Linked DNA regions of Nothobranchius furzeri. The protein of the gene in region 1 purifies or fractionates together with the protein of each later gene. This does not show direct contact. Links are inferred from orthologs where the notes say so. Each region holds a gene or a part of one and is shown on either strand. Other genes may lie near its edges.

Evidence for each region.
Region 2: the proteins of med24 (region 1) and cdk19 purify together in Homo sapiens (affinity purification with mass spectrometry; 6 studies listed by BioGRID and IntAct, counting the BioPlex papers as one, with this or other methods). This does not show direct contact. The link is inferred for Nothobranchius furzeri from reciprocal best matches to the Homo sapiens genes MED24 and CDK19.

The regions. Positions count from the first base shown.
Region 1 is NC_091756.1:31,518,995-31,522,821, reverse strand, and holds part of med24 (mediator of RNA polymerase II transcription subunit 24), read left to right. Parts: coding exon 1-50; intron 51-119; coding exon 120-301; intron 302-373; coding exon 374-467; intron 468-557; coding exon 558-657; intron 658-1,021; coding exon 1,022-1,105; intron 1,106-3,827. UniProt on the Homo sapiens protein: Component of the Mediator complex, a coactivator involved in the regulated transcription of nearly all RNA polymerase II-dependent genes.
Region 2 is NC_091742.1:28,596,297-28,600,590, forward strand, and holds the start of cdk19 (cyclin-dependent kinase 19), read right to left. Parts: upstream 3,036-4,294; 5' UTR 2,929-3,035; coding exon 2,926-2,928; intron 2,852-2,925; coding exon 2,706-2,851; intron 1-2,705. Other genes in the region: amd1 (S-adenosylmethionine decarboxylase proenzyme), read left to right, coding at 3,788-3,900.

The DNA.
Region 1 (3,827 bases):
GCCTCCTCAACATGGGGGGGGTCTTCTGGTTCACCAACAACCTGATCAAGGTAACGAGAATGAATAAAGCATCCAATATGAGCTCAGATGGTATATAAACACCTGCTGTGTTGTTCCAGGAGCTTCTGAAAGAGACACGTCAGGAGTGGGCCACGCGGGTGGTGGAGTTGCTCTACAGCATCTTCTGTTTGGACACCCATCAGATCACCCTGACGCTGCTCGGTACCATTTTACCCAACCTGCTCACTGACTCCGCCCACTGGCACAGCCTTTCAGACCCTCCTGGGAAGGCTTTGGCCAAGTAAGAGCAGCTCCTTTCTGCTGGTTAAATCTGCATTTCAGCTGCTTTGCATTAACTTTCTTCCCCCTTCAGGTTGTCTGTGTGGTGTGCGCTCAGCTCTTTCTCCTCTCACCACAAAGGCCCCCTCTCAGCACGGCAGAGAAAAAGGCAGAGAGAAGACATAGAGGTAAAACTGCAAAGGCCAGGAATGGCATGTTGAAATGCATGAGTGATGTAATGTCATGGTTGCGTTTCATGAGCATCTTTCTAACCACAGGACTACAACAGCCTCTTTCCTCTGGACGATACTCAGCCGTCCAAACTCATGCGGCTGCTGAGCTCCAATGAGGATGAGCCTGCAGCTCTGTCCAGTCCAGGTCCGTCTAATAAAGTTTGTGTTTGGTTGCACGCTTGAATTATGGAGCTTCAGACATTTGTCTCTCGGTCTGAGCTGGGGATTATTCAGATGCTTTTTCTAATATCCACTTCCAAACCGGTTTGTCCCACTCAGAAGGGATAAACTTGGCTTCCAGTGATCCCAGACGTGAACGGTGGCGTTAGGTTTGCAGGCTTGCAGGTTCTAACTTGAGCCTCATGTGGGGTTAAAATATTGCCAGATTAAAACTCTGAGCAACAGCAGTGTTGTATTGTTACTCAATTCGTCATCACATGACCAGTATAATGAGCTTCCAGATCACCAGCTCTGGAATTTTTAATTATTTTCCCTGTTTTTGGCTGCAGCTTCGGAGACAAATTCCCAGACAAGACGTTGCATGACTCAGGAAAAACTTCAAGGCCCTTTACACTTTGCTGTCAAGACTGAAAGTAAAAGTGCTTTTGTTCTTTCAAAACCTCAAATAAGAATCATTTAGAAACTATTCTGGTCAGACCAGCGGCCGTGCTCAGTGATTTTTGGAGTGCAGGCTTCTTAATTACAGAACAACAATACAAAATCAGAATATAAGACATGGTTTAAATGGCACCACAGACACCTCGAGTCTTAAATAGATTTGGAGTATTTTCATGTTTAAGTGATAAAACTTTTTCCTTTGATGTAGCTCAGGTGGTTTATCAACCTATCATTTAGCCGCTTAAATGTATATTTATCTACAAACAAACAAGGAGCTTTAATCAGAGGGTAAAACAAAGTAAGATGCATACTCTGAGGTGGGAGTGACCAAACGCTCTTGCGTTTAAACAAATGGGACTAATAAGAAGGAGCCGTGACCTAAAACTTGTTCTGAAGGGCAACTTGTTTTACTCTTTGTTTTCAGATAATTCAACAGTTAAGTTATGTCAGCATTGGTTAAGTTGTTTGGTTTTCATGACACTAACCCATCGTGGTTATTTTTGCTGAATGCAGTCCGCCGACTGCACTGTCAGCTTAACCGATAATGATACTGCCACCAACGTGCTCCACAGTTGATGGTGCTGCCCACCCCTTTACCCCTACAAACACATCAGGTGATTGTGGTCAGAGCAGCTTTGGAAGGTCATGAGATTTTCAAACGCTTCACTCGGTCAGATTTGAGTTATTGGGTTGATTTAGGTGTCAGTGTGTGCCATTTAAAGGTTCCATTTCATGCTATGTTAAACCTTTGAGAACAAAGGTAGGCAGATTATATGGTAAAATATTACCATTGGCAATATTGAGATGTCATTTATCTTAAATACAAGTTATTTTCTTCAGCATGAGTTGATACCCAGAAATAAAATGCTTAATTTCAGTGAAACTCCGCCCACGCCCGCTCTGACAAAACGTGACTACAACAGTGTCATAGGTGAGTCAGTTGCTGTGTTTGTTATAAAATGGCCTGTATTTGATATAGCGCTTTCTAGAGTCCTGGAACCCCTCAAGGCACTTTACAACACAATCAGTCATTCACCCATTCACACACACATTCACACACTGGTGGGGATGAGCTACGATGTAGCCACAGCTGCCCTGGGGCGCACTGACAGAGGCGAGGCTGCCGAGCACTGGCGCCACCGGTCCCTCCGACCACCACCAGCAGGTAGCGTGGGTTAAGTGTCTTGCCCAAGGACACAATGACCAACAGACTGAGTGGGGCTCGAACCTGCAACCTTCCGATTACGGGGCGAGCACTTTACTCCTGTGCCTCCGCCGGGGGGGGGGGGCAGCTCAGGAGGTAGAGTGGGTAATCTGAAGTTTGTAGGTTTGATCTTGGCTCCCACCAGAGAATGCCGCTGTTGTGTCCTTGGGCAAGACACTTAACCCACCTTACCTGCTGGTGGTGTTTGAAGGGACCGGTTGCGTCAGTGTTCAGCAGGCCTCGCCTCTGTCAGTGTGCCCCAGGACAGCTGTGGCTACATCATAGCTCCTCCCCACCGGCATGTGAATGGGTGAATAACTGATTGTGTTGTAAAGCACCTTGGGGGGTTGTAGAACCCTAAGATGGAGCTATACAAATACAGGCTGTTTACTATGGCAGGCCAGCGGTTAAGGCATCTGACTGCTGTCTCAGTTTTGCCATGTGCTGACGTGGGTTCGAATCCCGGTGGTGTCGGAATAAATTTATTTAGCCACCTGAATCAGATTTCATGTTTTCATATTTTAGTTTAATTATTTTCTGTAAAATATTTTGTGTCTCTAAAGATCTTTGAATTTGGTCATTTTCAAGCAGCATTTTAGTTGATTTACTCTGCTCACCTCACATAGACTCACTCTGGCTAAATGACCAAAGAAAGTAAAAAAACAGATTAGTCCTTACCTTTTAAACAGTTTCCCAATAAAAGTGTAGCTAAAAAACAGTTACTGCCAAGGCTGGGGTGCGAACTTACCCAAAACTACATGCCCGCCTGGTACTCTAACCACTGGACTACCAAATCTGCTACATGACACCAGTTGCCTAAGCCAGTGGTTCCCAACCTTTTTTGACGCTAGGACTCCTGAGCCGTTTTCTCGCACCATGAGTACCCCCTTAGTCAAACGTGTTGACGATTCCCCAAAAGTGTATAACTGGGTGCTTGGTAAAAGCTGGTGTATCATTCATTTGGGTAGAAATGGGCCACGTGGCCTAAGATCTATATCACAGTATGTTTCTTTCCTCTATTTATATGTTTATGTCAAAATTAGGGGTTTTACATTCTCACATACCAGATGAATTTCAGCACAACAAATACTTCTAAAAATGATTGAAGAACATTAAACATTCAAAACATACTTAAAAATACATCTTTCTAGTAGTTTTTATGATGTTCTGATTCATTCTTCAAACAAAGCAACACAAAAATGCTCCTGAAACAAATAAAGATGAAGATATTTAAATAAAATTCAAGCTAAATGGGATGAAAACACAAAATTATAGTTTGAAATAAAGTGAAAACATGTAAAAACGGAAATAAGATTTCCAACTTTCCTCATTCATTTAATCATTTTTTATGTTTTTCATTTTGTCATAGAAGTTAAGTGTTGCTTCAGTCAGGATAACTGACGGTAAAATGATTTGTTGCTTCGTTTTTTGTCGACATTAATAAATAAGCTGGAGGTTTATTCTTTCTTCCTCTGGTAGAGCGATGCTCTGAT
Region 2 (4,294 bases), on another chromosome or scaffold:
TGTTCTAAGTCGAGTTAATCCGAATTACAAGAAGCTATTCAGCCTAATTTTGACAAGGTGCAGCTCTGGCTAATGCAGAACAAACTTCTTTTAAATAAATCTAAGACTTACTCCATGCTGTTTCACAGAAGTAGAACTCTATCTGACAGTGACAGGACTCTTAATCTTTATTTTTTGGATTCCTCCCCGGTTCAACCGTCTGTTAAAATGAAATATTTAGGAGTTTGGCTAGAGCCAGAGCTGTCTTTTAAATTTCACATTCACACAACATGTCTTAAGGTCACACGGTGTTTACGTATCCTTTATAACTCAATAAATTGCTTTGAACCTATTGTTCGAAAGTGCATCGTCACTCAGCTTCTGTTACCGATCATTGATTATTCTGATATTTTATACCAAAACTCAACAGTTTCTAGCCTGCGGTCTCTTGATGTCGTCTATAACAGTTTGTGTCGTTTTATTTTGCGGTGTTCATTTAACACTCATCATTGTTATATGTATGATCTTCTTGGTTGGCTTCCTTTAAAAGCTAGACGACAATTTCATTGGTTGATATTTATGTTTAAGTGCATTTATTTTGATTTTCCACTTTATCTAAAAACACTTTTGGTTCCCATTGATTCCTTGTATTCAACCCGCTTAACTACTCTTCCATCATTTGTTGTTCCTCGTTTTAAAAAGGAGGTGGGTAGACTCGCCTTTTGTGTTAAAGCTCCTCAGGACTGGAATAAATTACCCGCTGAATTAAGATCCATCTCAACAATTCGTAAATTTTCCCGCACTGTTTATGCTTATGTAAAGCCAAGCTGTAGTTGCTTTGTTTAATCTTTACTATGATGATTTTGTGCATTCAATGGCTAACATGCTGTATTTCGTTGCCAAACTTTGTATTCAATTGGGATACTACTTCACTTTAGATTTATTTATAATGTAATTTCTTGCCCTTATTTCTCTTTTAGTGCCTCACAGCAGTTTTATTTAATTTAATTTGGTATATAGGTATGTATGTACGTATGTACACTTGTTGGTATCTATGTATCCTTGCTTATGTGTTTATATTTACGTGTGTATATATATACATTTATACATATCGTTGATTTTACTATTATTTACTTTCCCCTTTTTTTTTTTTATTTCTGTTACAACTTTCTAACTCTGCCACCTTATTTGTTATTGGTTGTGTTGTAGGAGGACCTGCTCGAAAACGAGATGTTACATCTCAAGCAGTTTATCCTCCTGAAAAAACATAAGTTAAATAAATAAATAAATAAATAAATAATGTTCTGATTTTACTGAAAAACTTGTTCTGTAACAGTTTCTTTACTATTGTGATCAAACATATTTAATCTCAGTTCTGAGGCTGCTCTGTAAATAGTTTTCAGATAAACAATACACACATAGCAACTTCTGATCAATCCATATCAATTTCAGATTTAAAATAATGTATTGATGTAAACAACACCCACTAATTTCCAAATAATAAATAAGAGGTGCATTCATCTGTGTGTCTCCTTTGATCCGCATTAGTGATGTTTCCAGCACCAGAACAATGAAGCAAAGAAACAAGATTCCTGAGTTTACGTTAGTAATTTTATTTATTAGGTGCATCTGACCTGTTCTAGTTTTCTCTGAAATGAGATCAGACCAGTGCTTCTATGGGTTGTCTCCTCTCTGCACTAGAAACATGTACTTTATTATAATGTTCACTGTAATGCATCTTGATGTTCTCAACAAATAAATTAAATCAAAGATATTGGTCAATAATGCCAAATATGTAAATTTGTGTTTCAGTCATTTTTATACTGGCTTAAAAATACTTCATTAAGTCTACTAAGCAGGGGTGTAGAAGGTGTTTAATAGGGCCAGCCCAGTAATGGTCTTGGACCAAAATAAAGGGGGCAGAAGGAGATGTTTTTCCAGACGAAAAATTAAATGCCACCCCCCCTCCCCCTGCAAAGTGTGTCACTGAGAGTTTAAAACTAAAATTATTCTTGTGCAAATATTGGTGTATTCACCTTTAATACTAGTTATTAAAATGCAGCAGTTGCTGGATTGGTGCAGTTCAGAGTGGAGGGCATCAAATAAAACAATATTAACATAAAGGTGAGACGTGTTATCCCCCCCCCCCCCCACCAGCTGGAAATGATATTTTGCTTTTATGCAGATCGGAGTAGAGCTTTGGCACACGAACATTCACCGGGACTGATAACAGAGCAGGTCCCTCAGCGGCCGGGCCAGCAGACAGGGACACACAGGTCCTGTCCCAGGGACAGAAGCCACAGGGACACAACCTGTCTACGGTCAAACCGGAGGAATCCCGCCGTTTTGTAAGCAGGGACACCGCGGTCCGGTGAACAGACACAGAGCTAACGTCAGAACACAAACATCTCTGGTGAAACGTGTTGGGACAGGAGCGCGGCTAGAGGTGTGTGTGTGTGTGTGTGTGTGTGTGTGTGTGTGTGTGTGTGTGTGTGTGTGTGTGTGTGTGTGTGTGTGTGTGTGTGTGTGTGTGTGTGTGTGTGTGTGTGTGTGTGTGTGTGTGTGTGTGTGTGTGTGTGTGTGTGTGTGTGTTAGATGAAAACAAAAACACAGACACACTCTGGAAGGTTCGGTCTGCCGCCCGTCCAACACCAGCGCGGCCCGTGTGAACCCAAACGCACCGTGAGACCGGCAGGGCGAACGGAACCGGACCTCGGTGGTCTTACCTGTCTTTGCGCTTAGCTTTATAAACGTGTCCGTAGGTGCCTCGACCCACTTTGCAACCTTCATATTCGAACAGATCTTCTACTCTCTCCCGCTCGGCTGCCAGCTTTGTTTTGAAGTCGTAATCCATGTTAACCCATAAAGACGACTTAAATTACAACAAAATAAAATATTAATTATTACACGCATTAATTAAATAATCTGCTCGTTTTATTCCCCCACCATTTCCTTGTTTGGGATTTTGGTCTGCTCCGCTGTGTTCACTGGATCGTTGACGCTTCTAATTGGGGCGCAGTGCTTGCTGGGTAATGGAGTCTTCTGAGCTCTCGTCGCGACTCACTAGCTGTGAAACTAGAATGAGAAAAACTACAACCCGCGTTTCCCGCTCCCTACGGGTCCGCATGAGTGCTCGGCTCGCTAGTGGTCCAGACTTCTGTGTTGGACGCTTTTGTTCCCGAGGTGAGCGGTTCAACAACATAGCCTGTGATCATATCTCCAGGTCATTTTTAGAACATACATTTTGGAAACACACTGCTGCTGTCCCAGACCACGTTGTCTTTTGGGGGATATAAATAACTATTTTTAATTATTTTGTCCAAGCTATGAAAACCAAATAACTCACAATAACAGCATTTAACGATGCAAACACGTGTGTTAACATTATATGAAGTTAATTCGCTTTCTGTCCTGTTTACACGGTCCTACCACGTTTATTTTCTTGTGGCAATAAAATGGCACGTGAGGAAAATCAGTCTCCAGTGCGATTGGAAGGTTCCTCAACAAATCACAATGGACAACCTCTACTCATACAAGCGGATTGGTCAATCCACTGTGACGTAAGTCTTGAGGCTATAAAAGAGCTGTCCGCGGCTCGTTCGGTGCTTACACAGTATGGCCGGCGATATTAGCTAGCGCTCGCTAACTGTATTCTCTGCAAAAGGGAACGCGGTAACTTAAGAAAATTAACATCAGAATTACTTTAATGACTGTACCTCAATAAATTATAGTCAATCGAGAAAGGATTTATTAACATACAAACGTTGCGAACAACGTTTACACCTTTTTGTTGGGCGTCTGTTGTCTCATGATGGAGGAAAACGGTGCACATTTCTTCGAAGGGACCGAGAAGCTGTTGGAGGTGTGGTTCTCTCGGCAGGATGAGACCAAGGGGACCGGGGACCTCCGCACCATCCCAAGGTTTGAGTCCTACTGGGTTGAGTTCATGTCTTTCCGTGCATGCGAGCGTAATTTCGCGGTAACAGCGGCTGAGTCCATCATGGCTTCGCGGTTTAGTGTTAAATAACCAAATAAGCGTTCAGAAATGTTGTTTTCCTGTTGGTTTCCCCTCAGCAGCTTAGCGAACCTGTCTGTGGCCTAGCCGTCACCCACCAATCTGGCTAGCAACGTGAGCGAAAATGGCCTCCTCCCCTTTTAAAGTGTGGCTCTGTTGAGCTGAGTCATTCATTCTGAGGCTGTGGGCTGTGACCAGTACAGCGATCGTGCTGCTGCTGGACCCGTCAGCTACAACCGGGCAGCAGGCTGGCCTGCACACGGCTGCTTCGGGAACAGAAGGTAGAAACCCTCTGTTCTG